2 linked regions of the Macaca mulatta genome follow. The protein of the gene in region 2 purifies or fractionates together with the protein of the main gene of each other region. This does not show direct contact. Links are inferred from orthologs where the notes say so. Each region holds a gene or a part of one and is shown on either strand. Other genes may lie near its edges. The genes, in order: MMS19 and RTEL1.

What was found.
Region 1: the proteins of RTEL1 (region 2) and MMS19 purify together in Homo sapiens (affinity purification with western blotting; 4 studies listed by BioGRID and IntAct, with this or other methods). This does not show direct contact. The link is inferred for Macaca mulatta from reciprocal best matches to the Homo sapiens genes RTEL1 and MMS19.

Annotation. Positions count from the first base shown.
Region 1 is NC_133414.1:109,517,816-109,521,624, forward strand, and holds part of MMS19 (MMS19 nucleotide excision repair protein homolog), read right to left. Parts: intron 3,400-3,809; coding exon 3,261-3,399; intron 2,696-3,260; coding exon 2,541-2,695; intron 1,878-2,540; coding exon 1,799-1,877; intron 1,194-1,798; coding exon 1,068-1,193; intron 876-1,067; coding exon 794-875; intron 448-793; coding exon 347-447; intron 243-346; coding exon 93-242; intron 1-92. UniProt on the Homo sapiens protein: Key component of the cytosolic iron-sulfur protein assembly (CIA) complex, a multiprotein complex that mediates the incorporation of iron-sulfur cluster into apoproteins specifically involved in DNA metabolism and genomic integrity.
Region 2 is NC_133415.1:116,535,012-116,538,820, reverse strand, and holds part of RTEL1 (regulator of telomere elongation helicase 1), read right to left. Parts: intron 536-3,809; coding exon 497-535; intron 423-496; coding exon 344-422; intron 1-343. UniProt on the Homo sapiens protein: A probable ATP-dependent DNA helicase implicated in telomere-length regulation, DNA repair and the maintenance of genomic stability. Acts as an anti-recombinase to counteract toxic recombination and limit crossover during meiosis.

The sequences.
Region 1 (3,809 bases), on a different chromosome or scaffold from region 2:
AGCTAGAACCACTGCCTTAGAGGCATCAACTCCAAACTTGACTACAGCTCCCCATTCAGCCCAGTCCCTTGGTTATTATTCCTAGTAGTTACCTCTGTTCACCTGCCAGAGATGCTGCAGCAGCAGAGGCAGTGTCTCCTTGACGATGCTGGGATGTGTTGATACAGCTGACAAGGCTTGCAGACAGCACAGATGCTGGGAGCATTGGATGTGCTCATCTCCTTTAGTCAAATTTGACTCCCCTGAAAGCAACCCATAAGATGAAGGTTCACTGTGTGATAGCAAGCACGAAGGCCCCAAAGCCTTGCTGGGAAGGGATGCGCCACAGAGGATTAGAGACACATACCTACACGCAGCTCCTCAGCGAGCTTGGGTATGAGGTGGCTGCTGAAGGCCACAGGGTAGAGAGCAGCCAGGGCTCCTGATGCTTCCAGTGCTGCCACCCTGCTGGAGGCGCAGAGCAGATGAGCAATGGCTGAGCCTTGGCTCACAGCTCTCTTGCCTAGGTCTGATATTAGGCAGATTCAGGAGTGTGAGCTCCCAACACCTCCTTGCCAAAGAGTAGAAGTCAAGTACCTACACCACTGAGTTTGACAGGGTTTCTTAAAGCCTAAGAAGAAAGCAGTCCTACATCTCTCCAACCGGTTAGCAGCCAGAGCCTAACACAGAGCTCACCTCCCCTAAGGAGAGCCAAGGGTCAGAAGCACAGAGCCCTGGTCCTAGCTTGATCTGTTGCTGCCAATACAGAGGCAGGGAACAGCGTGCTCTATATCTCACTGCTTTAAATTCTCACCAACTCTGGGAATCCTCCTCCAGGAAGCTCAGTCTGTACAGGTGACCCACTGCCAGCTCCAAGTCCTCAGAAGATAGGAGATCTGTAGTTAGAAGGGAACATGAATCCCATCTTTCGTCCCCTGCAGCCATCACAACCCTTCCAAGCTCTTATTAGAAATCCCAAATCATCCAGAGTTGCAGTGAGAACAGGATAGTAAGGCTGCTTTTCACTAAGGCAGCCTTACAAGAAAAGGACCAATATCCTTCTCTTCTCTCTTTCCCTTAAGATGTACCTGGCTGGGCACCCAAGACTGTGAGTGTACGGATGCCAACAAGCTGAAGCTGGGTGCTGGGGTCTGTTAGGGCCATGAATACCAGTGAGCACAGCTGGTCCTTGAAGCCATTCAGAGGCCTTTGATCTAGGGAGAGACAGAGGCCAGGTTAGAAGGAAGCCATTACATTCCATATCCCTGACTAAGCTGTGATATACAGACAACCTGGGGTAGATTTTTTTTTTTTGAGACAAGGTCTCTGTTGCCCAGGCTGGAGTGCAGTGGCACAATCTGGGCTCACTGCAGCCTCTGCCTCCCAGGTTCAAGCTATTCTCCTGCCTCAGCCTCCTGAGTAGCTGGGACTACAGGCATGTGCCAACATACCTGGCTAATTTTTGTATTTTTAGTAGAGACAGGGTTTTTCACCATATTGGCCAGGCTGGTCTTGAACTTCTGACCTCAAGTTTTCCACCTGCCTTAGCCTACCAAAGTGCTGGGATTATAGGTGTGAGCCACCATGCCCCGCCTCCTGGGGCAGATTTAAAGAGCTTAATCCACTGGGTATCCAGGAAGCACACTGAGAAAAATAAACAGATCTCATCCATCTCATCTGTTAGTGTTCTCTTGTGCTACAACCTCAGAATAGGACCATTGTTCTAGACTACTTTTCCACAGCACTCTTTGCCCTGCTGTCCTTTATAGTCTGCAGTGTTCAACAGTCCCCAGAGCACTGCAATGGAAGGCAACCTCACCTTTGTCTTCATAGCTCCATTTCTGCTGCAGCTTCAAGAAACCCAGGAGCATTTCAAGGATTGTCCGCCGCTGGCTGCTCTGTAATGTTTCAAGGGGTACTGGAGTCAAAGAATATTTTAAGGTATTTCAATCCTGCTACTCTGGATGTAGGGAGAAACCTTTCTTTCTTCCAAGAGATGGGGGTTTTGCTATGCCACAGTCAGGCTGGAATACAGTAGCATGATTATAGCTCACTGCAGCCCCGACCTCCTAGGTTCAAGTGATTCTCTCGCCTCAGCCTCCTGAGTAGCTGCGACTACAGATGCGTGCCACCTTATCCAGCTAATTTAAATTTTTTTTTTTTTTGTAGAGATGTGGTCTTGCTATGTTGCCCAAGCTGGTCTTTAAATCCTAGCCTCAAGTGATTCTCCCGCCTTGGCCTCCCAAAGTGCTGGGATTACAGGCATGAACCAGCATGTCCTGCTTGGCTAATTAAAAATAAATTTTGTTTTTTAGAGATGGCATCTCGCTTTGTTGCCCAGGCTGATCTTGAACTCCTGGCTTCAAGCAATCCTCCCTTTTTGGGAGAATGATCCTTTTATGTAAGAGACAGGGAAAAAGTAAGTAAGGGAAGCAGCAGCAGCAGCTAATGGGAGCAAAACCCAAGATCTACTATGTCGGCCCCAGCTAAAACTTAGCACTCTGAGAAAGGGAACCTAGCACACAGGTCCCATCATTCCCCCAAAGATTCTGCTCCCTTACCTGACTGTGCTTGTGGAACTGTTCCAGCAGTAAAGGCAGGACATTGCTGGTGATATAGTCACAGGCCCGGGCAGATGCACCTGCAGCTGCCTGCAACAGCTTGGCACTAGGCCACACCAGTTTCATGTCTGGTTCACACAGGTGGTGCCTGCAGTCTAGAGAAGCAGCACATCACAGACCTGGGGAGGAGGCCAAACGGTGCCTGACTCCCCTACAGTCCACAGAGGTTGGAGACTGAGACCCATGACAGTTTGCAAGCAGTTAACACTCAAATTGTTTTCAATTCAGAGTAGGGCTATTGCCCCCAGATCACCAAATATATTGGGGCTAAACAAGAAAGGTCACTGGCCCTTAAGGAATGTCATTTATTTATTTATTTTTTTTAAAATTTGAGACAGAGTTTTGCTCTTGTTGCCCAGGCTGGAGTGCAGTGATACGATCTCAGCTCACTGCAACCTCTGCCTTCCAGTTTCAAGCGATTCTCCTGCCTCAGCCTCCTGAGTAGCTGGGATTACAGGTGCCCACTACCACGCCCGGCTAATTTTTGTATTTTTAGTAGAGACGAGGTTTCACCATGTTGGCTAGGCTGGTCTTGAACTCCTGACCACCCACCTCGGCCTCCTAAAGTACAGGGATTACAGGTGTGAGCCACCACACCCGGGCAAGGAATGTCATTTCTATTGTGCTCACTCCCCTTCCTGGCTGCCACAGCCCCATTACCCTGTAGAATGTTGCTAAGGAAGGAGTCAAGGAGGTCCTCAGCATCAGCCCTCAGCACAGAACGAGACAAACACGCAGTCAGGGAGTGGAGGGCCGCCAGGCCCTCTGCCTCCACCCGCTCACTTGCCGTCTGGAACACCTGTCAGGGAGGGATCCCATGGCTACTGAGGTGAGCCTGCACCAGATGAGACCCCACCAATCCACTGCCTATTTCCTTGTTGGAGAGGAGAGTGAGAACCTCTAGGACACAGAAATGGAAATTAACACGTCAACTGAGTGTCTTCTCAACTGGTGTGTTCTTACCAAGTCCTTAGTCACACTCAGGACAGAGACACACACTTTCTGAGAAACAGAAAACCAACTCTGAGCAGTGGCTCTGCTCACCTTTCTATTCACCACGGTGTCAGAGGCACCATAACCTGCACTCCTTGCCACAGAAGGACAAGAAGTGGGTAATGTGCAAAGGTGATCAACTGCTCTTACCAAGCAGCTGACTGTCACATAGGGACTCTCTCTCGTCATTCAACTAGAATTATGTCCCCCTGCTTG
Region 2 (3,809 bases):
GCATGTGCTGTTCCGTGGAAGCATGTGCTGTTCCGTGGGTGTGCTGTTCCGTGGGAGTGGGTGCTGTTCCGTGGATGCGTGTGCTGTTCCGTGGGAGTGTGTGCTGTTCCGTGGATGCGTGTGCTGTTCCGTGGATGCGTGTGCTGTTCCGTGGATGCGTGTGCTCTTCCTCTCAACGTCTCAACAACCAGATCATGCAAACCGGGCGCTCCTACCAGGTCTCCAAAAGGGAAAACGGGCCTGAAAACAGGCCTCACTGGTGGGACAGCCCAGGACTGCACCATGGCCTATCTCTAGCTCTAGGCTGGGCCTCCAGTGAAGCAGCTGGCTCCCCGCCTCTCACCTCCCTGGCTTGGTGACACCGCGGTCGTCTCCAGGCAGCTCAACGGCATCGATGGCCCCCTCCAGGCGGAGCAGGATCACTGCAGGTCGGGTTGAGGAGGCATCAGGGGGAGGCCCCACCCAGCCGCAAGAAGGTGGGGAGGGCAGCACTTACTCTTCAGCTTTGCAATGTCTTCCAGCTCCATGTTCAGCCCTGGGCAAGAGAAAGGCAGCAAAGGCACAGTCTGTGTCACACTCAGACCAACAACCCCGCCCTTGAGAACCAGGATTCCCGGCATGGAAAAAAGGACGCCACCATGGGGGAAGAGGCTACCGGAACCCATGCCAGCCAGTCCAAACTGGAGACACCAAGAGGAGGCGTTTTCCCTTTATTTATCTATTTATTTTGGAGACAGGGTGTCACCCTATCACCCAGGCTGGGGTGCAGCGGCACTATCTCTGTTCTCTGCAACCTCCGTGTCCCAGGTTCCAGCATGTCTGTCTCCCAACTAGCTGGGACTACCGGCGTGTGCCACCACACCTGGCTAATTTTTGCGTTTTTAGTAGAGATGGGGTTTCACCATGTTGCCCAGGCTGGTCTTAAACTCCCGACCTCAGGTCATCCAACTGTCTCGGTCTCCCAAAGTGCTGGGATTACCGGTGAGCCCTTGTGCCCAGCTGGGTGGTTTACCTTCAGAGTTAACATTTGTGAACACATCTGTGCGTATGGATGTATCTCCACAAAAACACCCAGTAACAATGACCAACCCAGTAACCATGACTAGCCTGTTGCCGCATCGTGGGTCCTGAAATACCACCTTGCAGGAAAAGAAACCAGAGCTTCTTGGAGACTTGGCTGATTCCAGGTCTGGAGCAGGACATGAGTGTGAAAAATCCTGACTCCCAGACAGCAAAGAGGCCACAACTGCTGGGGTCAGGACACACGGGCCCACATGAAAACACCTCGAGGTGGAGAACGGAGGTCAGGAGTGAGATTGAGGGTGGCGCGCGGAGCAGGACCAATCCCTACACGCTCACGTACATTCACTGATGACGTCTGATTGATTGACTGATTGATTACTGAGACAGAGTCTCGCTTTGTTGTGAGGCTGGAGTGCAGTGGCGCGATCTCAGCTCTCTGCAACCTCCGCCCCCCGGGTTCAAGTGATTCTCCTGCCTCAGTCTCCCCGGTAGCTGGGATTACAAGCACGCGCCACCACGGCCCACTCATGTTTTGGGTTTTTTTTTGTATTTTTAGTAGAGACGGGGTTTCACCATGTTGGCCAGGATGGTCTCAATCTCTGACCTCGTGATCCGACCGCCCTGGCCTCCCAAAGTGCTGGGATTACAGATGCGGGACAGCACACCCGGCCCACAGCCAGCATTTATCCCGCCTTTCCTGTGTGAATGGGATCACCACACGGCTGATGCGATGCAGAGCATGGTGCTAGATTATTCCTGCTAACTGACTAAGTGACAGAATTGGCACACTACCATCTTGCAATCCCCCAATAATCAACAGAGTCAGGTGTTCAGCAGCAACAACGTTAACGTCAGAAGAAACTGGAAAGCAGATACTGTGAGCCTCCTGATAGAAAGGACATCCCGGCCGGGCGCGGTGGCTCAAGCCTGTAATCCCAGCACTTTGGGAGGCCGAGGCGGGCGGATCACGAGGTCAGGAGATCGAGACCATCCTGGCTGACACGGTGAAACCCCGTCTCTACTAAAAAATACAAAAAACTAGCCGGGCGAGGTGGCGGGCGCCTGTAGTCCCAGCTACTGGGGAGGCTGAGGCAGGAGAATTGCGTGAACCCGGGAGGCGGAGCCTGCAGTGAGCTGAGATCCGGCCACTGCACTCCAGCCTGGGCGGCAGAGCGAGACTCCGTCTCAAAAAAAAAAAAAAAAAAAAAGAAAGGACATCCCGCCTGGAGCCAGGCAAAGGGTGGCCCCAGTCTAACTGGGGTCCTCAAGCCACCTAAGGGCACCTAAGTGCGGAGGAGACGAGAACACCGGGGAACTCGTGTGACTGCCCCTCCCATACCCAGATTCAGACTCCGCAGGGTTCCTCTCAATGTCTCAACAACCAGATCGTGCAAACCGGGCGCTCTACCGGGCTCTCCAATAAATAAAGTGTGAGGAAAAGAATGAACCCTGCCAAGCACGGTGGCGCACGTCTGTAGTCGTCCCAGGAGTTTGGGAGGCCGAGGCAGGAGGATCGCGTGAGCCCAAGAGGCGGAGGCTGCAGGAGGAGGAGGCTGCCGTGAGCCCTGATGGCACCACTGCTCTCCAGCCTGGGTAACAGAGCGAGACCCCATCTCCAAAGGCGTAGGAGGACAAATAGCGATGAAAACTGAAGTTCCAGTCCTGAATGAGACGGCAGAAGCCCCCCTCACCACACGTCCCCCACTAGTTACAACGAAAAGCCCTGCACGTCACGTAACTAACAAAACTGAAGAGTGGAGAAGGCCCCTGTGGCGGTGTTCACAGCCCTGGGGGTGGCCGGGGTCTCTCCCACGTCACACAGCCCTGGGGGTGGCCGGGGTCTCTCCCACGTCATATAACCGACGAAAGGGCAGCTGCCGAGATGCGGAAGGAGACCTGTCATTCTCCCCACCCTGCGCCAGGCAAAGGATGGAAAGAGGTGGCCATCCACTCCCAGTTAGAGGTGGGGTTGGGGGACTGTGGAGAAGAGGGAGGTGGAGCGTTCAAAGTCCCAGGAACCCCTTCCCCTACTGCAGCGCCCTGCGTGGCAGCCTTGAGATCCGATGGCAGTGGCGACCGCCTGCGGTCCCGGTGCTTTAAGAGGCTGAGACGGGAAGACCCCACGAGCCCAGGAGGCTGAGGCTACAGGGAGCTAAGATCACGCCACCGCATTCCAGCCTGGGCAACAGAGTCAGACCCTGTCACTTAAATATATGTATATATATAAACGGATCCTACAGCCAGAACAAATGCCAAGTTCGCAAACTCACTCTCTCCCAAGCAGCCACCCTGGTGAGAAAGGTGAGGACGAGGCTGCCCAGGGTCCAGGGTCCCCATGGTGTCCATCCACATGTGCGATTTTAAAGGAAAATGAGGAAAGCTGATGCTGGAGATGCTCACACGCAAGTCACAGCGGAACCAATGAAGATGCTCACAGACTCCTAGTCAGTTGTTTACAGCGGCCACGCAGAAAACACGACACAGGCCGGGCGCGGCGGCTCACGCCTGGATCCCAGCACTTCAGGAGGCCGAGGTGGGCGGATCACCTGGAGTTTGAGACCAGCCTGGCCAACATGGAGAAACCCTGACTCTGCTAAAAATACAAAATTAGCTGGGCGTGGTGGCGCGCGCCTGTAGTCCCAGGTACTTGGGAGGCTGAAGCAGGAAAATCACTTGAACCTGGGAGGAGGAAGTTGCGGTGAGCCAAGATCGCACCATTGCGCTCCAGCCTGGGCAACAAGAGTGGAACTCCATCTCAAAAAAAAAAAGAAAGGAAGAAAACACAG